Linked DNA regions of Notamacropus eugenii. The protein of the gene in region 4 interacts with the protein of the main gene of each other region in a pairwise test. Links are inferred from orthologs where the notes say so. Each region holds a gene or a part of one and is shown on either strand. Other genes may lie near its edges. The genes, in order: PSMC6, C2H11orf68, CDC34 and SDCBP.

Region 1 (7,605 bases), on a different chromosome or scaffold from region 4:
AGGAAAGGATATATAGTTAGTAGTGTCAAAAGTTTCTGGGAGGTTAAGGCTAATGACTGAAAAAAAGCTATCAGATTCAGTAATTAATAAATTACTGATAATCTTAGGAGAGATCAGTTTTAGTATAGTAGTGGGATCACAATTCTGACTGCAAAAAGTCAAGAAGTGAACAGGAGGTAAGAAAATGAAAGTAATGGCTTCCTAAAGTGAACAATAAATTTGGCTTCCCTGAATACTATAAACCTTAATACTGCTTTGAAACGTAGGATTGGGAATTAAGAGTTTAAATCCTAACTTGTAACTAGCTGTGTAATTTTGAATATCACCAAACTTCTGCATGCCTTAATTTTTGTATCTAAAAAAATGGGAGTAGCTCTAAAATTGTATTATTTCTAAATTTATGATATTTATTCATTTATTCACTGAATATTTGGTCAAATAAGAAAAAAGGTAAAACTGAATTACCTGACGCCGACAACCCACAACATATCTTGGTCCATTTGTTGCTTTAACAATGACTAGAAAAGAAAAAAAGGCCATAATTATTTTTTAAAGACATTTGCAAGAAGCAATTTGGAACAATACTCCAAAAGTCACTAAAATTGTGCATATGTCTTCATCCCAATATCCTTATTAGGCATATACTCAAAATTTATTTTTTTTAAAAACAGGAAAAGGTCTTCTTTATATGTACAAAATTATTTACGGTAGCACCTTTTATATCAAAAACCTGGAAATAAAGTGAGTGCCCATTATTTGGGGAATGGCTAAACAAATTCTGATACATAAATATAATGGAATATTATCCTGCCAAAAGAAATGATGAATGGGACAGATTCTGAGAAACCTAGAGGAAGTGAACAAAGCCAGAAGAAAAATTTATACACTGACTACAATGTGAGGACAACTGTGAAAGACTTAAAAACTCTGATCAAGGCAGTAACTAATCACAACTCCAAAAGTCTAATGATAAATCATATTTTTCTCTTTTGGCACAGAAAAAATAGACTGTAGGCAACTGAATGAGATATGTATATGTGTGTGTGTATGTGTGTATATATATATGTATATGTATGTCTGTATGTCTTCAGACCAACCAATACAACACAAATTCATTTTGTTTGATTATATTCATTTGTCACAAAGCCGCAAGTCATGAAAAAAAAAGAAAAAACATCATCCAAAAAAATAAAGAAAACATCATCAAAACATACACATTAAAGCAAGTTCAGATGGGGACACATTCAAAATGGGCAATGTGGGTAATACTATGTTAAAACTGAAATACGCAAAAAACTACAAAGCTATATGTGGTACAGTTTCTTTTTTCTGACCTTGTCATATATGGAAAATCCATGTTTGTGATGTCAAGTTCATAATATGGATATATACACATGTGTATAATGTTTTTAAAAAGATATCTGTAGGAGGGAATGTTACTTTATTTAAATCATCCAAATTAAAAATGACAATTCAGAAACCACTACTCGAAGAAAAACCAGCTTGTCAAATTGTTCTTTCAAACTATTCGATATATTTCAAAGGAAAAGCATATTTCTGTATGTATTTTGTATATTTTGACCATCTACTTACATTTTTCTTCTGTTAATTGTTTAAGTACTTCACCCACAATCTACAAAAGAAAAAAAGTGTCATTATTTAATGTAATTACCTGCAGTAGCCAAAATTACAACCAAATCAACAACTTACCTGCCCAACACTTTGCAAGGCCTTCAGATCATTTTCAGACTTTTCATATTGCTTGGTAAGCTCTTTCAACTGTTCTCTTACTGAAATAAAACAACTAGCATATTAAACAATTGTTTTATCAAATGTATCTGTGACATCTCAAATTTCTTATTAAAATACCGATAGATTGTACAAAGAAACATTTATTAATTTGTCTGTTTCTAATGAATGATTGTTGATTTTAAGTCAAGTAGCAACCTGACTTTTAAGGGTTATGTATTCGATGATCTTAGTTTCCACTGGCTAATGGGTTTTCTTATCAATGGTTGTTTACATATACTGACAAATTAGGAATGATAGTTTTCATGCCTCCAATTCAAAGTATATTGCATCCTCATCATCCTGTAACCCAAGCACAAGATTCTGCTATTCCGATCAAATGATCAATAAAAATAAGATGTGTTAAAAAGAAATGCTGACATCCCTTTCGTTTAGGAGATGAATGGTCGGTAAAAAAGCTAAGTGCATTGAGAACGGGTGACAGGGTCCAGCACAAGAACCACAAGTCTTGATTGTTTCTGCCCAGAAGCACACGTACATCCCCTCAGCTGAGCTGCGTAGCTCTCGCCGTGCCCCGGCGTTCTGCATTCCAGAGCTTCCCTCCTTAAGCCCCTGCAGCTCCCGTCCCCTTCGGGGCCTAGAGCAAGAGCCTCTGCCTCCTAAAGTGAGTCGTCCTCGGGCCCAGGCACCTTCTCCACTACGCTCGGCCTTCAACTGCAGCGGGACAGGCCCTTTCCCCCTTCTCCGCCCGTCGGGTGGGCTTCCTCCCGTGCCCCCGGGGCTCGGTCGGCATCCCCCCCCCAGGCCGCCGCCGGCTCGGAGCGGCCGCGGCTCGCGGCACGATGACAAAGCGCCTTGTGCTACAGCCCGGGTCTTGTCGTTCAAAAGCCTGCCCAGAAGGTGGCCTCCCCTCGGCGAAGAGAGGAGCAGGGAGAGCGGGCCCCAAAGTCCGTACCAAGGTAGAATACTTACACTCTTTGAGGCGCCCATCGATCTCCTTGTGCTCGAGCAGCTTCTTACGGTAGTCCTGAAGAGCCTTATCTCTCGGGTCCGCCATGATGAGAAGACGCCTCTCATAGGGGATGCTGGGAATGTCCATGGCCGCCGGGGCGGGGGGGAGAGGGGCGGGGACGGGAGGGGAGGAGGAGGGAAAAAAGGAACTGACACGATACGCCCCGCCTCTCTACCCAGGTTCCCCCCACCCACATCTCCTCCTCCTTCCCCTCTTTTCCCACCTCCCACCCTCTTTCCCAGGAGGCACTTCGGCTCTCTCCGGGTAGGCAAGACTCCTCCCCCGCGCGAAGCTGAGCTGCTGACCTCCCCGTACACCGTCCCCTTCTGGTAAAGGCTGCAAATAGCAAGAAGCCGCTCCTGGGCGTCCTCTGAGGCTTCAGACATAGCCTGACTCCTGCCTCTGGAAAAGAGAACTTTGAGTTAACAGTGACTGAAAAAAAAAATCAGAGAAACAAAGAACGTTTTTTCCAAACATGTCTCGGTTGCCAATCATCTTATACAACAGCTTAACCTTATTTTTCAAGCGCGTGAGGCTCTTTGTAATAGTAGTTGATAGCCCCATTTCTGAAACTTAGGGTTTTTCCCCTTTGCACACAGCTAGCATCATTACTAATTTCCTAGGAAATCAGGAAAGGCAATAATCCTGAGTCAGTGAACAGTGTCTATACAGCACTTGCTGACACAGCACTTTACATACATAGGCACCCTCTTAGACCTCCCTTCCCTGCCTCAGTGGCCCTGGGAGACTCTGCCACTGCACTCCGTGGGTCTGTATTTCTGAACTCACCACAATCCACCCCCAAGGGCTCCCCCCAAATGCCCTCCCCCCTTACCCTTCTGTAGTTAGCCACAGGACACAATTTGTTGTGGTTCAGTTCTGTCGACTGGAGAGCCAATTTGGGGTTTTCTTGTCATCTCTACTGGAGAGGTTTGCCATTTCCTCCTCCAGCTCATTTTACAGAGGAGGAAACTGAAGCCAACAGGGCTAAGTGACTTGCCCACGGGTCACACAGCTAGTCAATGTTGGAAAGCACATGTGGAGTGTCTTCCTGATTCCAGGCTCAGCACTCTATCCATGGACCCACTGCACCACCTAGCTGTCCGCAGGATACAATTAGCTCAAAGCAAAGGCATGATATGAAAAAATAGCGACACAACTTCTTCATAATCCTGAGAGGTATCATGACAGCAATATAAACAGCAATAGTAGGAAGACTGGTCACTTCTTGTGGAAAGCACATAAATAGGGAATGTGTTACTTAAACAATTTAGACTTCCAAAGTCTCTCCTTGCTTGATGTCTCTCATGAAGTTCTCACTGCTCTTCATGGGACCTCTGCTGGGTAAATCACTATGACCACCAGGAGTTTCAGTTCTTAGGCCTGATACTTGTTGAGCAGGATTTCAGCTTCAAACACCAGCCTCTCAATTCTTCTTGCCAACTTGACTCTTTACATGTACTCCTCTCCAACTGACATTACCACAATGTTTCTGCTTATAAGATGTCATTGTCAATGGAGGGATGGGAGGAAAGAGAAAGAATCCTCCCCCCACCCCCAGCTTTCACTGAGGCACAACAGAAAAAGTGAAAAGCAAATTGTCACTTCACAGCTGACTATTGCTTTTTTAAAGTCCACCAGGGGCATGACTGATCCTACAGACAGATGATGGCTGTATTTCTCTGTTTCATCAGTTGTCTATCCTTTGGTCAGTGCTTTATAATTCCATCAGGTTTACTGAGGAACTTTTTTCTCACTTTGTAACTGAGTTATTTAGGCAGCCTCCTTGTATTCTATTGTTTGATTTTTTTAGAAAAACTCCTAAACACTTCTGGTAACCATGTAACCGCAGCTTCACCAGCCCCTTCCATAGGGACTTAGATACTGTTACTATATCTTTAATAATGAATGGAATCTTGGGGAGTTACTGTTTCATCTGTTATCTGTGAGAAGTCTATGAGTGATGACTTTTACTTTAATGCTTATTCTGGAGATACTATTAACTGTGATGCCTGTGGAGGACAGAATAAAGTCTTCTTTCCTGAGAGGGAGTGATGTAAATGTCAAGGAGAAAAGGTCTAAAGAGGCATTTCTTGTGAGGATTGAGTTTAACTCTTGTCTTGGAAATAAATATTATGAAGTTAATTCTTGGGAAAAGACTTTGGCATTTAATAAGGAATTCAGGATGAGCAGGGAAGAGAGTTTATACTACTTTCTTCTCACTTCTCAACCCCTGGCATCTAGCTTCTGACTTCATTATTCAAGTGAAACTACTCTCACCATAGTCACCTCTAACCTCTAATCAACTATGACTCTTCCACTAACTAGCTATGTAATTTTGAATTTCCAGTTGGATTTGGAAAAGTGATTCATTCTGGCTATGGTCTTCCTGTCTCCCAACAGATACATTGTATATGATTATTTCTCTTTGTTATGTTATTTGTTACATTTTCATGTTATAATTATAGAATTTTTTTTTAAGACTAGAAGATAATGGGGGAGAGGAGAGGACAGGACAAGACAGGAGAGGAAGTTTATGAGGAAGGGGGTTTGTCCAGTTTAATAATTTTTAATAAATTGAGGAAAGATTAAGGGCTAATTGGCTAATTAGAGGAGTGTTGCAATTTTGGTAATTTATGGGGGAATGTGAGAACATAGCCCTTGATTATCTTAGAAACCAGGATGTAACAATCAAGTAGAAGGTAAGAGTGGGTTAGTCATTCCTAAAACCTGTTCATATCTCCTAAAACCCAGATATTAAAACTTATATATTACGTATCCTCTTGAAAATTCCTTTGTAACTCTTGTGCGATACCCATTCTCTCCTTTACTCCAGTCTCTGCCAAAGAAGTCACCTCTCTTCTTGTCAGGGATCACCCTAATATTTAAACCCTTAGTCCCATTCCTTCCTATTTCCTTTGACAGACTGCCCCCATATAATCCTGGACTTATATCACTAAACTGCCTGCCTTTTGGATATATCCCATGAATGTCCTATAAACATGTTAAAGGCAAAAGAGGACTCTTCTTAAACCAGTTCTCCCTAATTTCCTTATTTCTGATGACTAACGTTGTCTTCCTAGTCATCCAGTTTTACAAATTCAGTCAACTTTTATTTCTCACTCTCCCCACCATATTTGATGTTTCCAGGTTCTACAGTATTCTTTGAATCTATCCTTTTCTCTCTTTTTACATAACCTCCATGTAATTCAATCAGTCAACATTGACTAAGTGCTTACTATAAGCCAGAGACACTCACTGTGCTAAAATTTGGGGATAACAAGAAAGATAAAAACTAGACCTTGCCTTTAACAAGTTTATATTCCAATGAAAAAGATAATCTTTTAATTTTTATTTTTTCCTCCAAATTTATTTATTTGTTTTCAATTTTTAACAATTATTTCCATAAGTTTTAAATTTTTTCTCCTTCCCCAAGACAGTATGCAATCTTATATGGGCTGTACACATATATTCTTATTAAAAACATTTTCACATTAGTCATGTTGCATAGAAGAATTAAAACGAATGGGAGAAAGTATGAGTAAAACTAAGCAAAACCAAACATAACAAAAGAGAAAATAGTCTGCTTCATTCTGTGTTCTGACTCCATAGTTCTTTCTCTGGATGAGGATGACATTTTGCAGAAAAAGATAATTTATAAATAACTGTGTACCCTGAAGATAAATATAGAGTAGGTGAGAGGTAATCTCATAAGAGAAGGCACTAGCAGTTGAAGGAAGGTTGTGAGTAGAAGATAAACACTGAGGTGAATCTGGAGGAGTCCAGTTTAACAGCAAGCAAAGTGGGATTTTTTGTTGTTTTCTTTTTGGAGTTCAGTTTCCCAAACTCAGGCTAAATTGAGAACATCTGAAGGCTCAATTTCCTTTGAACCCTGATAGTTCACAGCTGTGCTAAGTCATGTAGGTTTCATGCCTACTGACTTTGAGTCAATCAGGAGCCAAATCTTTGTTATATATACTGGGAGGCTGGTATTTTACTTTGGGGGTTTGCTTATGAGAAGAATCTTGTGATTCCCTGGTCAAGACTCTGAGTCATCATATGTTCAGACCCTCTGACTACTCAGATGTAAAGGCTCTCTCGATCCAAGGGTGTATGTAAAGTATATAGCAATATTGCTTTGATTCAGGAAGTAGAGCACTGTCTGTTGGTCTTTATTTCTCTGTTTATACTTTCTTTGTTTGTATTTTCTGAATGTAATGACAAAGGATTGTTGACCCCTTAAACAGCTATCTTTCCTAGTAAAGTAGATCCAAAAACATATGCTAGCAGCCATCCTGAGTATACCAGTGTGGTTACTTATACATTCAGAGAAGCTAAGAGCCATAGGTGAGGGAGCAGAGTATTCTGGACATGGGGAGCAGCCAATCCAAAACACAGAATCCAGAGACAGAGTGTTGCATGTAAAGAACAAGATCAGTGTAACGGCATCATAGAATACTTGAATGTGTATAAAGTATAAGAAGACTGGAAAGGTAAGAAGTGCTGTGAAAAGTTGTAAAGAGTTTCTAATGCTGAGTTCCAGGGTCTAAGGTGGCAGAGTAAAGAGTGAATCACTGTCACTCTCCTATGATCACCACTGAACAGCCATAAAATAGTGCCCCAGAACAAATTTTGGAACAGCAGACCCAGTGGAAAGATGGGTTACATCTTTTAGCCTGGGAAACTTGAAGGATCAGTAAGAAAGGCCTGTCTCACTAAGATAAAAGGGGAGCCTGTCTAAGGACAGGAAGTAGCCCCACAAGCCCCATCTCAGAAATCTAGTGGGAGATTCTGAGCCCTAGTGTGGTAGAGTAGGCAACCACCAATACAAGGACCTCCTTTAT
Region 2 (7,327 bases), on a different chromosome or scaffold from region 4:
TAACTGCACAGGCATCCTCGAGACCAGAACCCTAGAGAACCATGGGTGCTGGGAGGTTGGTGGTATGGACATTACAGACAGGTACTGGGTTGAGCCAGATCCCCTCAACCCCCAGCCTGAGCCACATTCCCCCCCACCTACAATGCTCCCCACTCCTGCCTCCAGGTCGCCAACCTCACCTCTGGAACTGGGCTGTGGGCCGGCTGGATTGGGGTGGGGGCTGTGGCATCTCCTCCTCCCCATCTGTCTCTGTGTCTTCAGAATCATCCTGTGGGACGAATCACAGAAAAGGCTGTCAGACCCCCTGAGCTCAGGGAGAAGGGGCCATGTTGACTGCCCAGGTATATCAGGCAGGGAGAGGAGAAGGCATTGATGGCCTCCTCTCAGAAGCCTGGGGCTCAGTCACTGGACAGACCTAAGGGAGACAGGTCCTGTCCTCAGCTGACAGTCTGATGGGGCTAGCTCACCTCCTGCTCCGAGTCTGTCCCAGACTGCTTCTTATCTTTCCCCTTTCCTCCAGCACCACCGTTTTTCCGGCTGCTCCCAGGCTTCCGGCCCCTAGAATTAGAACCAGAAAGGCCCTTAAAGGTTACTTTAAAAGGTGGAAACACCAAGGGGACAGCAAGTACCATGAGTAGTCCCACGGACATTTATGAATGCGCAAGGTTACAGGGGACACAAAACACCAGGGTCTGACTTCAAGACGTTTCCATTCAGCTCGGCTGTGAGGCTCGAATGAATCAGGCCAGGAAAGCCCTAAGGTGCTTCTTCACAGTGGCTTTGAAACCTTCTTATTCCCAAGGGACCCAGGACAGCTCAGACCTTTGGTCAGAGAGGTATGAAACCATCCATACCCTTTGGACTCATCTACACCACTGAAAAGAACACACTGTATACAAAAGCATCCACAGCAGCTTGCTTAGTTCTGAACCCAAAGTGGAGCCCCTCATCTGGGAAAGGGCGGAACAAAGTATGACGTGAGTATAATGGGATACCATGTGCTGTGAAAAAAGGGACTCTGGGAAGATTTATATGAACTTAAGAAAGGAGGAGAATCAGGTGTGGGTGGGCTTCAACAGTGCAGCAACTGGGCAAGGGAAACTGGCCGGACTTCAGTGAAACCATAAAGAAAGGAAGCCTCCCTCCCCCTTTCCTCCCTTCACCGAGGCAGAGGTGCACAGGTCTGGAGTGCTGTAGGTTCCCAGACTTGTAAGATTTGATCGCGTCTGCTGATTTTGTCTCTTTAAAAATGTTATCTGTTTTATGGGACATTTCTTTGGGAGGAGGTGGGGTGGGGGGATGCCCTGAGATGAACAGAGACAGACAGAGAGATCTGGGGCTTCACAGTGCCTGGCACACGATAGCAAGCTGAATAAATATTTTGTGACTGTTCCACTTTGTATATGGTGCTGGTTAGATTTTGGAAATATTTTCTCTGAAACACAACACCTTGCTAGGGTGGGTCAGAGGAGAATGGGGGAATGTCCTACTGTAGCCCCTTACCTTCGGGTTCCTTTCTCCCCATCCAGGTGATTGTCTTCTCCATCTCCCTGCATGTCGGGCACGGCGGCAACCAGGTCCTTCAAGAAATCAAACTTCTGCTCCAATTCAATACATTGTTTCCTAGGATGGGAGATAACAGGGGCTGAGCTCCTCCTTCAGGCTCCAAAGGAAGGGGGACTTGGGGGTGGGGGGAACTGAAGGGCAACAGAAGCTCTTGGGATGAAGAACTGGAAGGGGCCTTAGGAGCTTTCTAATTTAACCCCCTAATTTTACAGCAGAGAAAACTGAGGCCCAGAACAGGTTTGGCTGAGGTCAGGGGCAGAACAGAGATTCCAATGTGGGTCTTTTGATTCTGAATCAGATGATCTTTTCAAAGGTGAGGGAGGCAGAGGGAAAGGGTGAGGGTGGGGCAAGAAGGAGAATGGAAATGTGTCCTATGGGACCAAGGGGGAAGCCAGAGTTGGGGAGCAGAGTGGGGCCTCCCTGGCAGGACTCACAGGTGACAAGTGGTCATGGTCTTGGCATTCCGAGACTGGGTCACTTGACAGGCTTTCTTGAGAAGGGATTCCAAAAACAGTTCTAATGCCCTGGCTGAGGAGCTGGTCAAGAAAAATCAGGGAAGCCTGACGGAGCCCTGAGCCCCTCAACCCTGGCTTCCTGAGCCCCCAGCCCCACTGTCCCCGGCCACCTGAGCCCCCAGCCCCTCTGCCCTCAACCTCCTGAGCCCCCAGCCCCTCTGCCCTCGACCTCCTAGCCCCAGCCCCACCGTCCCCGGCCTTCTGAGCCCCCAACCCCTCTGCCCTCGACCTCCTAGCCCCAGCCCCACTGTCCCCAGCCTCCTGAGCCCCCAGCCCCACTGTCCCCAGCCTCCTGAGCCCCCAGCCCCTCTGCCCTCAACCTCCTGAGTCCCTAGCCCCACCGTCCCCGGCCTCTTGAGCCCCCAACCCCTCTGTTCTCAACCTCCTGAGCCCCCAGCCCCTCTGTCCTCGATCTCCTAGCCCCCAGCCCCACCGTCCCCGGCCTCCTGAGCCCCCAACCCCTCTGTTCTCAACCTCCTGAGCCCCCAACCCCTCTGCCCTCAACCTCCTGAGCCCCCAGCCCCTCTGCCCTCAACCTCCTGAGCCCCCAGCCCCTCTGCCCTCGACCTCCTAGCCCCAGCCCCACTGTCCCCAGCCTCCTGAGCCCCCAGCCCCTCTGCCCTCGACCTCCTAGCCCCAGCCCCACCGTCCCCGGCCTCCTGAGCCCCCAGCCCCTCTGTCCTCGACCTCCTAGCCCCCAGCCCCACCATACCTGACCTCCTGAGCCCCCAACCCCTCTGCCCTCAACCTCCTGAGCCCCCAGCCCCTCTGCCCTCGACCTCCTAGCCCCAGCCCCACTGTCCCCAGCCTCCTGAGCCCCCAGCCCCTCTGCCCTCGACCTCCTAGCCCCAGCCCCACCGTCCCCGGCCTCCTGAGCCCCCAGCCCCTCTGTCCTCGACCTCCTAGCCCCCAGCCCCACCGTACCTGACCTCCTGAGCCCCCAACCCCTCTGCCCTCAACCTCCTGAGCCCCCAGCCCCTCTGCCCTCGACCTCCTAGCCCCAGCCCCACTGTCCCCAGCCTCCTGAGCCCCCAGCCCCTCTGCCCTCGACCTCCTAGCCCCAGCCCCACTGTCCCCAGCCTCCTGAGCCCCCAGCCCCTCTGCCCTCGACCTCCTAGCCCCAGCCCCACCGTCCCCGGCCTCCTGAGCCCCCAGCCCCTCTGCCCTCGACCTCCTAGCCCCAGCCCCACTGTCCCCAGCCTCCTGAGCCCCCAGCCCCTCTGCCCTCGACCTCCTAGCCCCAGCCCCACCGTCCCCGGCCTCCTGAGCCCCCAGCCCCTCTGCCCTCGACCTCCTAGCCCCAGCCCCACTGTCCCCGATCCTCCCCGGCGGCCCAGGATACAGATGATGACTGGCACAGCCGCCGCCACCTTGCCGATCTCCTCGTCCGTCTGCATGATCTTCTTGATTCTGGCCTTGGGGTGGGGGAGGCAGAGATCAGCTTCGAGGAGGGGTACCAGGGCACCCCCCTCCGGAACCTCCATCATCGAAGGATGTCCGGGCGCTGGGCCGGGGGAGAGGGCGGCCCGGTGGTGCAGCGGGGACGGGAGCGGGGACCGCTGGGGGCCCAGGTGTGGAGCGAGAGCCGGGGGAGGGGCAGGGGCCGGGGCGGGGGTCCCAGGGTGGGGAGGAGCTGGGGGAGGGGCCCCCGGGATCCCTGGGCGGGGCGGGGTGGGACCCGAGGGAGGGGGCGGCTACGGGCCGGGCCAGGAGGGCCCAGACGGGGCCGGGGCTGGGGGCGGCCGCGGGGGCCGGGTCCTCACCGGTGGGAAGCGCGCGTTGTATTTCTTCTTTTTGCTCGGCATCTCGTGGCCTCCTGCTGCCGCCGCTGCTCTCGCCGCACCTCGGCCTCGGCCCTCCGGCCCCGGCCCGGCTCCGGCCCCGGCTCCTCGGGCTCCTCGGGCTCCGCCGCCGCGGCTCCTCCGGCTCCGGCTGCGGCCCCACCCGGGTCCTAGCGCCGGGCCTCTCCGGCGCCTCCGGGTCCTAGCGCCGAGCCGCCGCTCGCTCCTCCGGGTCCTAGCGCCCCCGCCACCGCGGACGCTCCGCCCCGCCTCGCTCCTCGCGGCCGCTTCGCTCCGGCACCTCTCCTCCTACAGACCCGCGGAGGACGACGTTCGCCCCGCCTCCCTGCTGCGGGAGGAACGCCTTCAACGGCCCCGCCCTCCGCGAGTTCACGCCTCCGCGGAGGGGCCCTGCTTCCCATTGGTCGCGTCCTCTGCCACGTCCGGAGGAGTTTCGCTCCCCCGTCCCCCCGCCCCCTCTGTCCTGGCTGTCCACGACCGCGGCCGGCGGTTGCCGATAAAGTTGTTGTTGAGGCGGCAGGCGGCCCAAGATGGCGGCGGCCGTAGGGTGGGCGGAGCGGAGGGCCCGCGGCGGAGAAGAGCCCCGGAGAGAGCGGGGGCCAGGCCGGGTTGGCACGGAGAGGAGCGAGAGGCGGAGGTGACTGGCTCTTGAGGGCAGGCAGCGGGGTCGCGAGACCGGAGACTCGGGCCAGGGCAGCGGCCGTGGCGGGGCGTGTACGGGAGCCGGGAGGGGCCAAGGCCGGGGGGAGGGGCGGGGAAGAGGCGAGCGGCGGCGAGCGCCTCCTCTGGCGGGGGAGGGGAGGCGGGGCTCGGAGGAGCCGGAGGGGCGGGGCCGACTGTGGCTCCCCGAAGGCGAGCTGGCGACTTGGCTGGGATCCATCCGAGGGCTTCTCTCCTTTAAGAGCTGGGGGCGGGGGCTTAGTGATTGGGATCGTCCTCTAGCAGCCAGGGCCGAGCGGGGGTTGCCGTGCGCTTTCCCTGCGTTCATTCATTCGGGTCTCCCCACCCCCTGGGGAGGGGCAGGGGCTAGCATCATCCCGATTTACTGACGGGGATACCGGGACAGGGAGCAGCCACGTGAGTGTCCGCATTTGAACTCGGGGCTTCCCAGCCTCGAGCCGGCGCTCCACCCACTGGGACACCCCGCCCTCTGTCCCTAAAGGGCCACAAAGAGCGGGATGGTAGGATGGCACTGCAAGGGACATCCTTTACAGGGGGAGGGGTTCTTGACCCTGCTGCAGGCACCCAGCTCGCAGGTGGGGGTTCCGGGGCCTCACCTTTCCTCCTCCCCGCAGGATGGAGCTGCCGGAGGAAGAGATCCCCCCTGGGGGCCAGGAGGATGGCTTCACGGCCGAGCATCTGGCTGCTGAGGCCATGGCAGCCGACATGGACCCCTGGCTGGTCTTCGATGCCCGCAGCACCCCGCCTTGTGAGCTGGACTCCTGGCTGGCTGCCTACCCTCCTTCTCGTGTCTCTCGCTATGGGGGCCCCAGCGCTCCCAATCCCAAGCCTGTGGGCTGGATTGCAGTGTATGGGCCTGATTTCTCCCCTGGAGCTGGGGATGTCCAGGGACTGCAGGGGGCTTGGGAAGCCCTACAGGCCAGCGGGCGGCCCATCACACCTGCTATTCTGCGGGAGTTGGCCCTCACTCACCAGGTCCTGACCGGCAAGTGGCTGATGCACCTGAGCCCCGGCTTCAAGCTGGACCATGCATGGGCTGGCATTGCCAGGGCTGTGGTGGAGGGGAAGCTACAAGTGGCCAAAGTGAGCCCCCGGGCCCAGGAAGAGGAGCGTCAGGTCATCTGTGTCTACACAGAGGACTTCACAGACCAGGAAGGAGTGCTGAAGGCTGATGCCGCCATCCGGGCAGCTGGGGTCAAGTGCCCACTGACCTATAAGCCAGATGTCTACACCTACCTAGGAATCTACCGTGCTAACCGCTGGCACCTCTGCCCTACCCTCTATGAGAGCAGCTACCACCTGGAGAGTGACCCCCACTACTCCCGAGTCCTGGACAGGCTCAACAACACAGCACTGACTTAGGGGGGGTGGGCACTCGGGTGCTGGGAGCCAAGACATCTAGGGTGGGGAAGGCACAGACAATCATTCCGGCCCTCTGGGGCAGCTCTCTGGCTCTTAAATCAGTCCCCATGGCAGGGCGGTCTGCCTTCCTGGCTTTGGGGACCAATGTCAGGCCTCAGGAAAGGAGGGGAGGCAGAGACGTGACATTATTCCCTGTGTTGGTCCAGTCGATGGAGGGCCAACGGGACCCTGTTCCTCAGAGTTTCAGTTACTTGCCCAGAGCCTTGACTGGGCTCCCTCCACCTGCTTAGAGCTACTCCACCCCATCCCTGGATGGCAAAGCACCTAGGAGTTGGTGGAGTGTTGCATCTTGGGATTGGTAGTCCTGAGTGTGGACGGGGCCACCAGCAGGGGGGGCCCGTGGGGTAGGTGCCTGCTGCTCCCTGCTCTGCCTGCAGTTCCTACAACCCGTTCCTCTACTATTCCTTCCCTGGCTTCAATAAAGCCCACCTTTGTTTTCAGCCCACCCCTCCCTCCTGCTCCTCTGGTTGTCAGATCCAGGTGGCAGCTGGTCAGCTCTGATGTGATGAGGAATGGGGTTAGGAGGCTTGCTGGGACCAAGGAAGCCACAAGCCTGACTGTGTGCTTCTGGTTTTCAGCCACCACTTCCAGGATCAGCTTGATGATGCTCTGGCATGAAAGCCCCTCACAAGTGCCAGTCTTCTGACACTTTATTCCTTCCCTCAAATCTCATAATCCAGGTATTGGTCTGTTCTTGCACAGGCGGTACCACCTCCCAACTCCAGGCCTTTGCAAAGCCTGGTTGTGCCCCGTGCCTGCAGTGCTCTTTCTTCAACCTCTGCCTCCTGCCTTCCCCAGCACCTTCACTGCCTTCCTTTCCTTTACACTGTATATATCTTGTGTCCCAGTCATTAATACGATGTCTCTTCCATTTGAATGTGAGCCCCTGGAGGGAGGGATGCTGTTTTTTGCTTTTCTTTGTCTCCACAGCTTTCCTTTGTCTGCACTTAGCACAGTGCCTGGTGCCTAGTGAGTCCTGAATAAATGCTTGTTGACTGACTGAGTCCTGCAACAACTTTGCTCGCTGCCTTGTGGTACCTCTAGGCACGTAGTAGTTTACAGAGAGCTTTCAGTATATTCTCATTTGATCCCCAGAACAGCCTTGTAGGGAGCGTAGTGAGTATCCCCATTTTACAGATAAGGAAACTGAGGCACAGAGGTCACATGACTCAAACCTATGTCTTCTAGCTTCCAATCCAAACCTCTCTCCTGCCTCTCAGGGCAAAACTTAATTTAAATCAACAAGCATTTATTATGTTCCCAGAAATGGGCACGAGGCTCTATGCCCCATGCTGGGCATAAAAAGAAAAATGAACAGCCTGCTGCCCTCAAGGAGCTTTT
Region 3 (7,447 bases), about 210 Mb from region 4:
TGAGGAGTGTGTGCATGTGAATAAAATAAGGGAATGTAGTGTGTTTCTATACGAGACAGGGGAACTTAGTGTGATGTGCGTCTAAGAGAGAGGGGAACCATGTGTATATATGGGTGTATGTAAAAGATAGAGGAATTCTAGGACATATAAATGCTGGAAAAATCTAGTCTTTGTATATAATACATAGGACAACCTATTCTCTGTGTACATGTGCTATGTGTAAGAAATGATGAAATTGCTGGTGTGTTTGTATGTAAAAGATGGAAGTATCTATCTTGCCTGTGTGTGCATGTGTGTAAGAGATGAGAGAATCCATCCTGTGTGCATATAAGATGGGAGATCTATCATGCATGTGTGTAAGAGATGGGAGAATCTATTCTGTATGTGCATGTAAGGGAAAATATCATGCAAGTGTGAAAGAGATAAGACAATCTATTGTGTGCTTGTGTAAGAGATGAGAGATCATGCATGCGTGTATAAGAAATGAGAATCTATCATGTGTGTGCATGTAGAAATCTATTCTATATATGAGATAAAGATGAAAATATATTGCATGTATGGAGAATCTAGCATGTATGTATGTGAGACTAACATATACAAAAGAACATATTATAAGGGAAAGGTAGACACATAACATAATTGTTTATGTTGTATATATGTGGATTCTATCAGGTACGTATGTGTGTTGTTGTGTCTAGGGAGAATCAATCACCTGGGTGGATAGAAAATCTATCTTGTGTATGTTGGAGAATACCATGTACATGAGGGCCTATGTATATCTGGGAAAAATCTATTGAGTGTGTGTATAGATGGGAGACTATCATCTTTCTTTTGTGGGAGAATCTTCTTTTGTGTGAACATGAATAAGATGTGAAAATCTATTACAATGCTTGTGAAAGAGACAGGAGAATCTATCATGGAGTAGGCACGTGTGTCTCTACAGTAGTACGTATATGTAGACTGTCATGTGAGAATGTGCTATATATACACACGTGTAAATGTGTGAGAATTTATTCTTTGTGTGTTCATATATATGGGAAAGATTTGGCCTGCATGTGTGTGGGAGGGGGGAAAGGGAGAAAAAGAATCTACCTTGCCTGTGTCTGCAAGTGTGTTATAGAATCCAGTCTCCATAAACACAAAAGAGAAGATAATCTATCTTGTATATATGTATGTATGTATGTATATGTATATAAACATATATGTATAAATAGAGAAGGGAGGTTTAATCAACCCTTCACAGGAAAGAAATGCTAAGAATCTACCATAGGAGGATAAAATAAAAAAGAATGGGAACCAATCATCATGTGTGGTGTGTGTAAAAGAAGGTGGGAAACTATATATATATATATAGGGACAGGGTAAAAAGGCAGAAGAACCTGCCATTGGGTGAAATGGGAAATCTACAAAGGAGGGGATAAGAGATGGGGAAATCTATCATGAGGAGTGGTGGTAAGAGATGGGGGAACCCACCTGGTGGGGAGATAGAGAATCTACTATGGGGGAGAATAAGAGACGGGGAATCTTCCTTGGGGGTAACAGATGTGAGAATCTACTGTGGAAGGTAATACATGGGGAAACCTACCATGAGGAAGGGGGCAAGAGATGGAGAATCTACCATGGTGGGGGGAGATGGGGGAACCTTACCATATGCGGGGAAAGAGATGGAGAATCTATTACGGGGGAGGACAAAAGATGGGGGAACTTACCATGGAGGTGGGATAAGAGATGGAGAATCTGGGAGAAGGGTAATAGACTGGGGAATCTACCATGGGAGGGGTAAGAGATGGGGAGTCTATCATGGGGCAGGATAATAGATGAGGAATCGGGGGGGTGGGGGTAATCGATGGGGAATCTAGCATGGCACGGGGGGCAGAGCTGGGGAACCTACCACGGCGTGGGGGGGAGGCAAAGGAACCCCACGGGGTGGCCGGGTTCTCCGGGGCCTGGCTCCCATGTAAGAAGTCGGGCTGCTCCCTGCCTTACCTTGAAGTAGCCGCCCTCGTAGTAGGTGTTGGGGGGCCCGAAGATGGCCACCTCCCAGTTGTACAGGTCGCCCTCGTCCACCAGGGTCACCCGGAAGCCCTCGACCGGCTCCTCCTGCAGCCCCTTGAGCTCCAGGAGCAGCGCCTTCTGCGAGCTGGGCACCAGCGGCCGGGCCATGGCGCAGGAGGCGGAGGCAGTGGCAGCGGCAGCGGCAGCGGCAGCAGCGGGAGTCAGGGAGGCGGCGGCAGCGGTGGCGGCGGCGGCGGGGGCCGAGGTCGAGGGGCCGGGCTGGGCCGCGTCGGGGGAACTAGGCCGCACGGCCGCCCCGGACTCGCGTGACGGGCCGGGCCGAACTCTCTGGGCAGGGGGGGAGGAGGAGCCGCCGCCGCCACTGCCGGGAGCCGCCGCCTCCGAGCCCTGAACCCCCGAGCGCTCCACTCGTTCTGGATCCCCGCTCCCCCCCCAGCCCAGCCCAGCCCGGCCCCCCGCTCCGCCTTCTCCTCCCCCTGCCTCGCCCTCCCTTCAGCCCGCCCTCAGCCGCCGCCTCCTCCTTCTTCTACTTCCCCTTCCCCTTGTCTTCAGGCCGCTGCCCGCGCGGGGCACGCCGGGAACTGTGGTCCGCTCCGGCCCGCCGGCGGCGGGGCGCCTGCGCCGGGCTGCCCGCCTGTCTGCCTGCCCGCCCTCCCGCTCTGCCTGTCTAGCCCTCCTGCTCTCCTGACTATTTCTGCCCGCGCCTGCGCCTGCGCCTGCGCCTGCGCCACCCCGTCGGCTACCGCGAGCCCGTTCCCCCCCCTCCCGACCGGCCTATCCTAGGGGGAGAGGAGAGGGGGGCCGAGCGCGCAAGCGCGCCTCAGCCGCGATTGGGTTTCGCCCCCAGGCCGAGGCCGCAGCCGCCCCAGCCGGGACTACAACCCCCAGACACCTCTGCTGGGGGGGGAACGCAGGGACGGGGGGCTGCTGGGATGGGTAGGCGTTGGAGCCCGTGGCGGCCCGTGTGGTTGGGTTTGTTGTTTTGTTTTGTTTTGTGTTTTTTTTGTGACGTCCTTCACCCCCTCACCTGAATTGGTGAGGGCGGGGCTCGGGTAGTAGGCGAGTAGGGACGGGGCACAGGGAAGCGGGTCAGCTCAGCTGGGCCGGACCCTGGGCCCATCCGACCCAACAAACTTTTTTTTTTAAAGAATTTATTATGAAGGAACAGGGCGTGTTTGTCCGGGAGAGGAGAAGGCCGGGGCTGGAGATTTTGCAAGGCTTGAGGCAGCCGCCGAGTCCAGCTTGGCCCTGGAGGTCGGCTCTCGAGGCAGCAGACCTGCCAGGGCCGGGGGCGGGCCGGGGAGGGGGTCCGGGGGGGAGGAGTAGTGGTGGGAGGGGGGGGTGGCCCCCGCCAGTAGAGAGCTCCCCGTCCCTAAGAGGCTTCCAGAGAAGCCGCGCGGTGCTGCACGCGCGCAGTAGGGGGTCCCGGTTCAGACCGAGCCCAGGCTAGGTCTAGGTCCCCGCCAGCCTCCGCCCGAAGGCTGAGCCTGGTTAAGGACTGGGCTGGGGTGAGGACGAGCCACCCTCCTCCAGCCCTCCGGCCCAGCTGAGAAGCATGCCCCGCAGCCCGCACGCGGGACGCACGCACGCGCGATTCCGTGCGGTGACTCGGGCGCCCGAGGCTGCTGGAGGACAGGCTTTTGTGCTGTTGTCTCGGGCTGCCCAGCGCGGGGCCTGCCCGGCACGTAGCAGGCGTGCAATTGGAATGGGGCTGTTTGCTTTGGCAGCGGGCGCTCGCTCGAGGAGGACGTGCCAGGGTGCCCTTGGTTTCTGGGCTGGGACACACATCCGGAAGGATGCGTGCAGGGGAGGGGGGGCGGGGCTGTGCCCAAGCATTCTTGTCCTTGGTGCCTGTTGACCCACTGCTGAGGACTTCGCTCCAGTGCTGATGACCCCTCTCTCTATAAAGTATCAGTCATCAGTGCTTCCCCCAGTGTAAAAGGGCCTTTGCTGTAGCACTGATGAGGTCTCATGCACTGCAGTGTGAACTCCCTTTCATTTTATTTTTATGCCCCCTTGAACGGGGGAGATGCCAGCACTGCCAAAACAGGTCTTCAGAGCGGGTCAGCCAAGACAGGCTGGTAATACCCACTACATGTGGCAAAATAAACAAGCCGTCCCTCTGCCCTAGCGCAGTGCATTCAGGCAGAGGGAATGAAGCCACTGTTTGTGGGTCCCTTCCTCCCTTTGGGCCTCAGATCAGCATGGTCTGGGTGTGGAGAGGACACAAGCCTTAGAATCAGCAGAGACTTGGATTGGAACCCCACTTGCCAATGAGTTGTATCACCGTGGTTGTCCAAGGGACTAAACTTTTCTGAGTCTCAGTCTGTGAAATAGGGATAATGAAATCCATAGTACTTATCTCACAGGGTTATCTAAAGGATCATATAATACGTAGAAATATGTCCACCTTAATGGCCTGTACAAATGACAATTATTGTTTCCTCTTCTGTAAAATGAGGTAGTTGGTTTCTAAGGTCCCTTCCATCCTGAACACCCTTGGTTCTGCAAATAAATGCAACAAACTCTTTTATCCAAAAGAAAGAGGGGATGATCCTCCCTCCTTGGGGGTCTTCAAGCAAAGGCTGGAAGAGGCCTTACTGGGTTTGCTAGAGAGAGAATTAATGCTTCTGCCTGAGTTAAACTAGTTGGTGCCTTCCAGCTGAGATTCTGAGATTCAGTACCTGGCCAGTATAGGGGGAAAGACAAAACAGAGACAAGAGGTGACTGATGAATCATCTTTCTCCTGCCCTTGGAAACTTACAGCCTCGGCACCTTGCACATGAACATGGTAAGATTACGTGAGAGGGCAAGAGGTAAATAACCTCAAGACAAGAAGGGAGGAATTGTCACAAAGCCGGATATGATTCACTGGAAGATGAACTTGGTGGTGGTGTAGGAGTTCAGGAAGGGGGAAATCAAGGAAGGCTCAGCAAAGGAGGTGGTTTTCAGCTGGGCCTAGAGGGATTTGGATAGGTTGAGCATGTGGGAAGGCAGTGGAGGAACATTCTGAGAAAGAGGAAGGGGAGATTGTCTAGAGGTGGACAGCGTGTTTTAGAGGCTGGTAATAAACCAGTCTGACTGGAACAGGAAGATTCCTCAGAGGGAGGCAGGGGAAGATAAGTTGGGTAGATGGGTTTTTTTTATTGTTTGTTTGTTTGTTTTTAATAAGGCAGTTGGGAGCTATTGAAGGTGTCTGAATAGAAGAGGGACATGTTTTGAGAAAATATTTCTGGATCTATGAAGAATGACTTGGAGGGACAGAGATCAGAAGCAGGGAGGCCAGTAGTTCATAATGAGAGAGGATGAGGAGAAGGGTATTTATAAAATGCATACTATGTACCAGGCACTATGCTAGGCACTTTAAAAATATTATCTTATTTCTCAATGGGTGGGGAGGGATGGGAGGGAAGGAAAGAATTTGGAATTTTTAAAAATTGTTTAAATGAATGTTAAAAATAATATTTCTAAAAGAGACATTTGATCTCACAACAATTCATTTCATCCTCATAACAATTCTGTAAGGTAGGTACTATTTTTATCCTCAGTTTTTCTGACTCTTCATGACCCCATTTGGGGTTTTCCTGGCAGAGATACTGGAGTGGTTTGCCATTTCCTTCTTCAGCTCATTTTACAGAGGAGGAAACTGAGGCAAACAGGGTTAAGTGACTTGTCCAGGGTCACACAGCTAGTGAGTGTCTGAGGCTGGATTTGAACTCAGGAAGATGAGTCTTCCTGATTCTAGACCCAATACAATGTCTACTGTTCACTACCTAGCTGTCCATTTTACAGATGAGGAAACTGAAGCAGACAGAGGTGATGTAACTTGCCCAGAGTCACACCTAATTGAGCTCAAATTTGAACTCCGGTCTTCTTGCCTCAAGGTCCAGTGCTCTAATAACCTATGATGATCTAGCCCCTTCCATGCATTATTTCAATTGGTCCTCAAGATAGTCCATGAAGCCTGTATTGCAAGTTATCCTTATTTTATAGAGAAGGAAACTGAAACTCAGCAAAGTTAAATGGCTGGCCTAAGGTCACACAGGTAGTAAGTGTCAAGAGGCAGAATTTGAACTCAGATCTTTCTGACTCCCAAGTCTAGCACTCCAGCTACTATGTCACATTGTCTTTTGAGAGGAGAAGTGTTGAGGGTTTGGAATCAGCAGGACTTGGTGATGGATGAGATGTGAAGAAGAAGAAGAAAGAGGGGGCAAGCTTGGGTGAATGCAGTGGCTGGAATAGAAATAAGCACGTTAGGAGGAAGAGCTGAATTTGGATTTTAGACAATGATTGAAGGGGCCAGTAAGAAGGCAGAGCTGTGCAAGATGTAGTTAAAGCATGCAGGAATGTAGCTCTGGATAGAGGCAGGAGCTGGTTGGGCCACAGCTCTGTGTCACCCAATATAGGGGATAGTTAAAAATAAGGGAGATTGTAAAGGGAAAAGGACCCATATGGACCAAAATATTTATAGCAGCCCTTTTCGTTGTGGCAAAAAATTGAAAGTTCAGGGGATATCCATGAATTGAGAAATGGCTGAACAAATTGTGGTATACGAAGGTAATGGAATACTACTGTTCCATAAGAAATGGTGAGCAGGTAGATTTCAGAAAATTCTGGAAAGACTTACAAGAACGGATGCTGAGTGAAGTGAGCAGAACCTGGAGAACGTTGTACACAGTCATAGCAACATCGTGTGATGACCACGTTTGATAGACTTCACTCTTCTCAGCAACATACTGATCTAAGACAATTCCAAAAGACTCTTGATGGAAAATGCTACCGACATCCAGAGAAAGAACTCTGGAGTCTGAATGCAGACTATTCTCTCCCTTTTTAAATTTTTTCTTTCTTTTGGATTTTCCTTTTTGTTCTGATTCTTCTTTCACAATATATCTAACATGGAAATGTGTTTAATACGGTCATACCTCTATCAGATTGCTCATTGCCTTAGGGAGTGGAGAGGAGAGAGGAAGAAGAAAAAAATTTGGAACTCAAAATCTTATGAAAGTGATGTTGAAAACCATCTTTACATGTAATTGGAAGAAATAAAATACTACTAAGTGGGGAAAGTACTAAAAAGAGTAATAAAAATATCTTAATAAAAAATAATGAAGGAGACTGTCAAAACATAGAATGTGGAGAGACAAGGGTCTCCATAGCATTCGCAGAATCTCGGAGCTGGAAAAGATCTTAGAGGCCATTTGGCTAATCCATTCATGAACAAATGCAATCCAAGCCAACAAACATTTATTAGGTGCCTGGTGTGTTTAAGACCGGTACCCTACTAAGCATGGGGAATAATGAAAGACAAAACAACCACAACAAAATAAAAAACAGTCACAGTCCTCAAGAGGCTTATATTACACTTGAGGAATCTGTAGGATCCAAGCCCTTGACCTCAGAGGCCATCTGGATCCAAGCTCTAGGATCC
Region 4 (7,944 bases):
CCTACCTATCAATCCGAGAGACCTTCCTCGGATAGTTTCCCTTTTGTAACATGTCTTCCCATTTGCATTTATCTGACTCACTGTTATTTTTAATATTTATGTTCTAGGTTTTGATTCCTCTGACATTCATTTAAACCAGATTTTACCTTTACAAACATGCCAAGAATAGAAGACAGACCCACTCCTTTCTTGGGATATTCTCTCTCCACTTACCTAGAATTAAACTGGTTTACCCCTGACACCTAACAAATGATCCACTGGCCTAAAAGCAACCATCAGAAAAAATATTTCCAGAAATATCCAACAAATCTTAAATGTCAGCATATATTCACGTGATAAAAACATCATTATGAAAGCTTTGTGCGACCTTGGAACAAAAGATATACTAAAGGGGGAGGATAGGAGGGAATAATGACCTTCCTTCTTGGAACAAGTGATGAGAAAGAATAGGATCATATTGCTGGAAATAACCTCAGAAAATATCTAGTTCAATCCTTTCCTTTCATAAATGTGGGAAAGTAAATCACAGGCAGGTTAATTGGCTTGCCCCCAGTCACATAGGTACTATGTGACAGTCTTCTGACCCCAAAGCCAAAGGTTCTCCTACCATACTCAAAAAACATTTTCCTATTCATTTGTCTATAACTTTGAAAAAATAAATACTTCCTAAAGGGCAATAGAAAACTATGATATACATATAATTGAATTAATGTTCCATAAAGGTAATTTTTTAAAAAACAAATTCCATGTTCCACATATCTAAACTAGACTATGAAAAGACAATAGAGTATAGTAGAAATAGTGCTAGACTTTGCAGTGCTAGTAGTTATTAGCTCTGTGATCAGGGCAAATCACTTCATCTCCATTTCCTCATCTGTTTTCTCATCCAGCTCACTAGTGATCTTCGTTAAGTCAAGAGACTTAACCTACTTCTCTGTATCTGTCTCATCTGTAAAATGAAGGGGTTGTATCAGGATGAGCTCTAAAGTTCAAGATCAAGATCTCTGGTCCTGTTCATTTCAGACTCTTGTTCCAAGAGGTAAGTTCATATATTCATGTCTCAATTAATATTCCCTTTGAGTATTTCTTTTGCTTCAACCTAGCACCCAAATGATATTCATGTTTTTCTTAAGCATACTCTTTAAGATGGACAAAACAGAAAAACCTTAGTGAGAATGTAAAGAGCTTTGCAAACTCTAGATCACAAGAGAAATGGCAGCTATTTGTGTTTACAGATAAAGAAAACTGAGGCCCAGAGAAATGACTTAAATTGACTTTCTTATGGTTACATAGTGCCAAAGGATAAAAATAGATTTCACCTACCTAATTCTGTCAAAAATCTGGAGGATAAGTCAACTCTAAGGAGATAGTTTATTAACTACAGTAACTATCTACTATTATTAGATTTTTCCCATTCTGGTTGGGGAGTACGGTATACTACCATTCCTACCAGTATCTTGGAAAAAAAAAAGACCAGAAATTAACAGCCAAAATCTAGTTTAGGTTACAATTTTATGGTTACCGAATAATCTTTATGAAAAGCTTGATGAATTTTTTAAAATTTTTATACTGCTTACTTTTGTACTATTTAGCTCAAATGTCTTGTAGGGCTACCAGGCTCTCTAAGAGTTCATTGGTGATAACCAACAAACTATGAAGTTACAATTTTTATCTTTCTACATTTTTAGTCCCAAGCTAGGATGAGAAAAAAAATGAAACGACTAGACAACTAAGATCTTCTCTACATCTTCTGCATATAGCGTAACAGGAAACCCTAAACCCAGTGGGTAGGGCTACTACCCAATCTTTATAAAATATACTTGAGGCAGAACTGCAGCCTATAAAAAGACATGTCAAATGAACTAACACTGTATTAAGTGCCTATTATGTGCCAGAAACTGTGCTAATAACTACCATGAGTGGTCATTCATTTAAAACTTTTCCCTTTATAAGTCACTAGTATTCTTTTCCCTCAACTAGAGGCCAGCCGCAGATATTAATAGAAATTACAATTTGGCACAAAATACGCCCCAGAAACATAGACTTTTGAAATAGCCTTGGAATTTCCTGTCAAAACTCTGTCATTTCGGTTGAAATGAAAAGCCCGTGTTGTAAGAGTCCCCTCTACACTTCAATCAGCATTTATTAAGCGCCTGCTAAAGACTGTCAACAACCACTCTCGGCTCTCGGCCCCCGGCCCTCCGGGTCAGGAAGGCAGGCTCCGGGGCCCAGGGCCGAGGGCTCTGGGCTGTCCGCGCCCACACCCGGCAGTGCCCTCCACCGGATCCACCTTCTCCCAAGTCAAGGTCTGTGCGGCGAGCCAAGGCTTGGGTCATCTCCACGTCCCCAGCCGAAGCTGCGCCCACGGAACCAACAAGCCCCCCACCCCCTCCAGGCCCCAGGCGCCCCACCAAGAGGCGGGGAGCGAGCCCGCAGCCCGGCTTCTTTGGGGTGCTTCTCCCCCGTTCCTGAGCCTCTCGCAGGTAACGGGGGTTCGGGAGGAGGTGCCCCGAGGCCCACGCCCTTCCCCCCCTTGGTTCTGCCCCGGGGGCGGCGGCTTTCCGCGCCCCCCCCCCCAAGCCCGAGCCCCGGGCGGGGGCCCATTCGGATCGCGGCTCCTGGGGGGGGGGGCGGATGAAGCCCCAGCGCAGCTTCCGCCCCGCCCCGGGGGTTCACAGCCCCAAGGGGTGAGTCCTACGGCTTCCCATCCTCGCCCCCAAACCCACCGAGCCCGGGACGGGGGGGTCACCTTGCCATTCCGCCCCCCCTAAAGCCTGCCGCCCACCTGAGCGTCGTCCGCTGTCTCCTCCAACGGGTCTCAACTGCTTTTCCCAGCAACGGTTTTCCCGATCCTCAGGGAAGGGAGAAGTCCGGGAACCGAGCAATCAGTCAGCGGGGGAGTTACGTCACCCACCCTAAGCCCCGCCCCCCGCCTGCGCAGACCACTCTCCGACATCCAGGTCAGGTGACACTCTCCTCGGTCACTCTCCCCCGCCCTCGGGGTTGCCAAGACAACCTTGGGGCGGGGCTAAGCCTGAGAGGCTGGGAGAGGGGGAAGGGGATGTGGTTTGGCATAGAGCCACTGTCCCCTCTGCTCGTTTCGCTGGCTCGCGTCCTTCAGCCCCTGCAGGAGGCGGAAAACCATCCGCGACCCCCTGGGGACGGAGACTCCCCGCTTTCCGCTTTCTCCATCCTTACCTTGGAGGCGCCCGGCACACAGCGGGCGCGTCATGAATGTTGATTGATCCGACCACTGACCTCCCAACTAAACTCGCCCCCTCCGCAGGAAGCGCTCCCGACGCCCCGGATTCCGGAATCTCCTGTCTCTGCCCTGACCACCTCTCTCCGGCTTCCTCCTGCAGGAAGCCTTCCTGAACCCCCTTTATCCCGGTGCTTTCTTCCTCTTAGTTAGGTCTCCTTGGTCCTGGCTGTGGTGTGCCTTGTCCACGTTCGTCTCCCCGTAAGCTCCTTGAGGGTGAGGGCCGTCCTTTGCCTTTGTGTACCCAGCTCTCAGCACAGTGCCTTGGCTTAAGGAAGGCTCCCGAACCGAATTCATCAAGATGTCTGAGTACACCCCCCTTCCCCCACTTACTGTCTTCTTATTGCCCGGATCCCCAGAGCCCCTCTGTAATAGGGGACCCAAGTCTGAGTACTAATCATTAATTAGCTGCTAAATGCAAATTGCGGCTGTATGTTAAGCAACTTATAATTTTATTATAGGTAAAATATGAATGTAGCAAAGGAGTTGGTCAAGGAACCCCAGGACAATTGACTTCTGCCTCTGCTCCCCATCTACTTGGAGACTTTAGAATGTAAGGAGGAAGTGATGGCTTGGAAGGCGTGAAAGGGCACAGCCTTGTCAGGCACTTGGCTGCTGGTAGTGAGGTGCCCTCTTCAGACTCTGAACAGCCCATTTGTACAGGGAACTAGGTTAAAGTTTGGGAAAGATAAGCGTGCCCTTTCCTCTGCATAACAATAAGAGTAACGAGAATAGGAGCTAGCATCTGTGTAGTCCTTTTAGGGTTACAAAGCACTTCCTACTCATCTGATTCTCCCAACCCTTTATGTAAAGTAAGTGCTGTTATATTCCCACTTTTCAGGTGAGGAAAATGAGGCTGAGAAAAGGTAAGTGATTCGCCCAAGGTTATGTAGTCTACTCTTTGACTTGGGCAAACAGGAAGGACCTGAGGCGCAAGAGCCAAGCCTGCTGTCTAGCAAACAGATGGATCAAGAACAAAAGAGAGTTGGTTATGGAGAAAGCACTCAGCTTTTGAGATTTTCATTCTTTACATTTTCCCTTGTACATCTTGGAGAGTGCCACAAAGAAAGGAAAGAATCACCCCCACCCACGTGGTTGACAATGGCATCTTGAAGTAGAAGCACTTAGCAGTGTCAGGAAGTATAGGGTCCATGGTAGTCAACAACAGGAGTTATATGGCAGCTGGAGACAGGATCCTACTTAGGAGATGGCTTCAGTGAATCTTACAGTATGGATTCCAGTTCTGCCCCAAACTGCATACCTGTACTTTAGTCCACGATTACGGCTGAGTCCAAAGGCAGAGACAGTGGAGACTACAGCAAAATATCAGATCTATTGAGTATCACCCAAAGCTTAAGGGGCCCAGAAGGGAAACTCATCCAAAAAGTGATACTGTGCTCCTGGAGGGACAACAACTCCAGGAAGTTCTGAGAAGACACTGGAAATCTGTAGCACCAGAAGTATTGATTGCATTGGTCACTTGGGTTCCCTATTTGTGTTCCATTCTATTTGTAAAGTTTATGCACTGATGCAGTATATATTTATGGGAGAGTATGCCCCAGCTTGTGGAGGACATTTTATTGCTACTGTACTTAGCTATGTGAGCTGGGGCAATTCCTTTATTATCTGCTCATTGTGTGCTCTAGGTAGCTAAGAAGAAGAATACTTCAGGAGAGGCTTATAAGGCATAAAGCTACTAGTGAGGACCCTTAAAATGTTGTACTTGGGGTAGTTATTCCTCAGTGATCTCAGCTCGCGATTGCTATTTGAGGGAGCAGACCAGAGGAAGTACTATACTATGAGGGCTCTACCAGTATAAATTTTGAATATTTTATGAATATGTAGAAACCTACTGAGAAGATTTTTTTTTTATTTCTACCATCACTGAAAGTGCTTAAAACACAAAAGACTCGCAAGTACACATCAACAAATGCAGAAACATAAAATAATATCCTGTCTCTTACATTACTCTCTTCCCAGAGGTAAAGACAATTTTGTGAAACTGCTGAAACCCACATTCTGTTTGCATATCAAACCTGCACGGTATGAGCTGCTTACAACAAATTTCCTGGCCATCCAAGGTATAGCTTGGGTTTTTTATGCATTTCTGTAGTAGTGGTACTTCTTGGTAGTGGTACTTCTTCTCTTCTGAGATGTAACGATGGTAATCACCTCCCAGTGGTCAGCTATCACTCAGCTGAATAATTCTCAGCATTTTTACTTCATGAGTTTATAGCAAGGGCTAGAAATGTCCATATCTCAGGTTTAGTGATATATTTTATGCTCAGGGGAAAAACAAAAAGTAAAAAGTAGTTAAGGACTCAGGCTCACATAGGCAAACACCATGTTGTTGTTGCCATATGATAGCAGTCATCATTGCCGTTGGGCTAGGACGAAGATAGAACTTCTTCACCTTCCCCTTGCTGGCAATCCAAGAGAGGGCAAGCACTGGAAGATTCCCATATCCATAAAAGATCATGAGTTATTTCTTCTCAGTTCCTCTTAAAATCCACCAAATATACAACTCCTCCTGCTCCTGACAATCGACTTTCACTCAATCCCCATCATTGGTGACCAATCAAGTGTTGCTACAGTTTCTCAATTAAGCTTATGTCCTTCAGAAACAGGCTAGAGTACATGGCCACAGAAAAGAAACAGAGCACCTGCCTAGCTCTACAGGTAGTACCCTAGTCTAACCGATCAAAGGGTTTCCCTCTTCACACTCATTACATGAATAATTCTCATAAACATTTGCAATGTTTGTGGGCTTTTGAACATGCCTGGCTTGTCTGACATGAAGCTCATGGAGCTCATGGGGTCCCCTGCCACATAAGTGGGGTAGCCTCCTCTGGCTCTCTATTTCTCTCCCTCTGTGTCTCCCTCTGTGTCTCTCTTTGTCTGTCTGTCTGTCTCTCTCTTTGTCTCTCTCTGTCTCTCTCTCTGTGTATCTCTGTCTCTGTCTCTCCCTCTCTCTCTTTCTTTCTCTCTGTCTGTCTGTCTATCTGTCTCTCTCTCTGTCTCTCTGTCTCGCTCTGTCTCTCTTCCTCTCTCTCTGTCTCTCTGTCTCTCTCTCTGTCTCTCTCCCTCTCTCTCTCTGTCTCTTTGTCTCTCTCTGTCTCTGTCTCTCTCTGTCTCTCTCTGTCCTCTCTCTCTTACTCCTCCCTCTCCCATCTTTTGTCTATGCTCCTAGCTGCTACTCCTAGCCTGGATGTTTGCCCCTACACTTCCTCTTTTACTCTGGCTCTAAGACATGGATCTAAGGGTGTTTGTTTCTCTTCTCTGTTGTTTGTCTCTAGTTTCAGGTGCTAGAAGTGATCCCCAGAGGACCAGGAGTTCAAGCCATAACCACCTTGGAGCCAGGATTGCAGGTAGGATAGTGCAACTGTACACTACACCCCCCCACTCCAGTAAAGGGAAGCCACAGAACCCAGGGTACCTTGGACTGGAGCCCAAGTGAAGCGTTTGGACATTGACCTGAGACTTTGTTCTAAGGGAACTGGATCCAAACTATAAACCTAATCACCTTCCTGTCCCCAGAGACTGAGGTAGTATGGAGGGAGGAGGAATTATGCATCTCCATGATGGGAGAGGCAGAGAGTATGTATGTTAGTGAAGTAAATATTCCTCTTTATAAAAGCTCCACTGTGTTACACATTTATTTACAGTTTTGAGAATTAAGATTTTCATTTTTTTATTTGCAAAGTACCTGAAATACTAATTCTATAACACAATTTTGACTGTTGTTCTGTAGGTTTCTGTCTTCATTTGAATAAACTACTAAAAAGTTAATTATTTGCGGGTCATTTGATCTGTAAGATTATGTAACTCCTTCCTTCTTTTAATGCCAGCCACATGACAAATCAACCACAGTCTCTCCGCATGATAACAATGTCTTAAAAAATTATTTTTCTCTATGTGCAATTTCATATAGCATTATGAACAATTCCTTGTAAGACAGCAAAACCACTACTCAGCTGACTAGCATGCAACATACTTATTTCCACATATACGAACTGTTTCTCACTTTAGATGATGAGTAATTTACTGAAAAGTTGCATACAAAGCATTTTTTTTAAAAACTGAGTGTATAGTCTAAATGGACAAGTAGTAAATTTTTAAAAAGAAATTCTGAGATAAATAATTCTGTGAAATCAAGGGTATGTGAAAAAACACATTTGGATTATGGTATTGATAAAATATAGGCTGGATTTACCTCCCCCTGAAAATGTTGCCTTTAGAAAATTGAGGTGTAGCCTTCTATAATCAGTTATTTCAAAATATATATCATTTGTATGTGTATACATACATACATATGCATACATAAGGAATAGCATTTTTCAGCTGTGATCTTGTAATGCCAATGAGAGTTAAAGATCTTCCCCACCCATTGATGGGCCTGCCCATTAAGAGAAACTTGATTAGGGGAGACCCACACCTTTCCTTAATTTATAAAGAGGCACTGGTTCTCAAGGGTTGTGATGCCCTCTGACTCTGAAAAGTTTATAAATACTCTGAAGTGAGGTTTAACTTTGGGGCTTACTTATTGGAAGTGTTTGGCCAGATGAGACTCTGGGCAACCACTAGGGAGTCCCCCCCACTTTGAAAACCCAGATGTTGGTGCTTCTCTCTGGTAACTATGTAAGTATGCTCAGACAGCTGGATCTGTCTGTTAATCTGTGACGTCT

Evidence for each region.
Region 1: the proteins of SDCBP (region 4) and PSMC6 interact in binary tests that used the Homo sapiens proteins (3 or more experiments, as listed by UniProt). The two-hybrid records come from large-scale screens. The link is inferred for Notamacropus eugenii from reciprocal best matches to the Homo sapiens genes SDCBP and PSMC6.
Region 2: the proteins of SDCBP (region 4) and C2H11orf68 interact in binary tests that used the Homo sapiens proteins (3 or more experiments, as listed by UniProt). The two-hybrid records come from large-scale screens. The link is inferred for Notamacropus eugenii from reciprocal best matches to the Homo sapiens genes SDCBP and C11orf68.
Region 3: the proteins of SDCBP (region 4) and CDC34 interact in binary tests that used the Homo sapiens proteins (3 or more experiments, as listed by UniProt). The two-hybrid records come from large-scale screens. The link is inferred for Notamacropus eugenii from reciprocal best matches to the Homo sapiens genes SDCBP and CDC34.

Annotation. Positions count from the first base shown.
Region 1 is NC_092872.1:326,077,990-326,085,594, forward strand, and holds the start of PSMC6 (26S proteasome regulatory subunit 10B), read right to left. Parts: upstream 3,005-7,605; 5' UTR 2,849-3,004; coding exon 2,722-2,848; intron 2,709-2,721; exon of another isoform or gene 2,336-2,708; intron 1,791-2,335; coding exon 1,711-1,790; intron 1,634-1,710; coding exon 1,594-1,633; intron 519-1,593; coding exon 466-518; intron 1-465. UniProt on the Homo sapiens protein: Component of the 26S proteasome, a multiprotein complex involved in the ATP-dependent degradation of ubiquitinated proteins.
Region 2 is NC_092873.1:18,628,290-18,635,616, reverse strand, and holds C2H11orf68 (UPF0696 protein C11orf68 homolog), read left to right. Parts: upstream 1-4,319; 5' UTR 4,320-4,413; coding exon 4,414-4,520; intron 4,521-5,178; coding exon 5,179-5,926; 3' UTR 5,927-7,002; downstream 7,003-7,327. Other genes in the region: DRAP1 (dr1-associated corepressor), read right to left, coding at 180-268, 468-558, 1,504-1,623, 2,001-2,094, 3,424-3,496, 3,845-3,886.
Region 3 is NC_092875.1:69,196,647-69,204,093, reverse strand, and holds the start of CDC34 (ubiquitin-conjugating enzyme E2 R1), read right to left. Parts: upstream 3,005-7,447; 5' UTR 2,164-3,004; coding exon 1,987-2,163; intron 1-1,986. UniProt on the Homo sapiens protein: E2 ubiquitin-conjugating enzyme that accepts ubiquitin from an E1 ubiquitin-activating protein, and catalyzes its covalent attachment to other proteins by an E3 ubiquitin-protein ligase complex. In vitro catalyzes 'Lys-48'-linked polyubiquitination.
Region 4 is NC_092875.1:277,130,400-277,138,343, reverse strand, and holds the start of SDCBP (syntenin-1), read right to left. Parts: upstream 3,010-7,944; 5' UTR 2,786-3,009; intron 1-2,785. UniProt on the Homo sapiens protein: Multifunctional adapter protein involved in diverse array of functions including trafficking of transmembrane proteins, neuro and immunomodulation, exosome biogenesis, and tumorigenesis.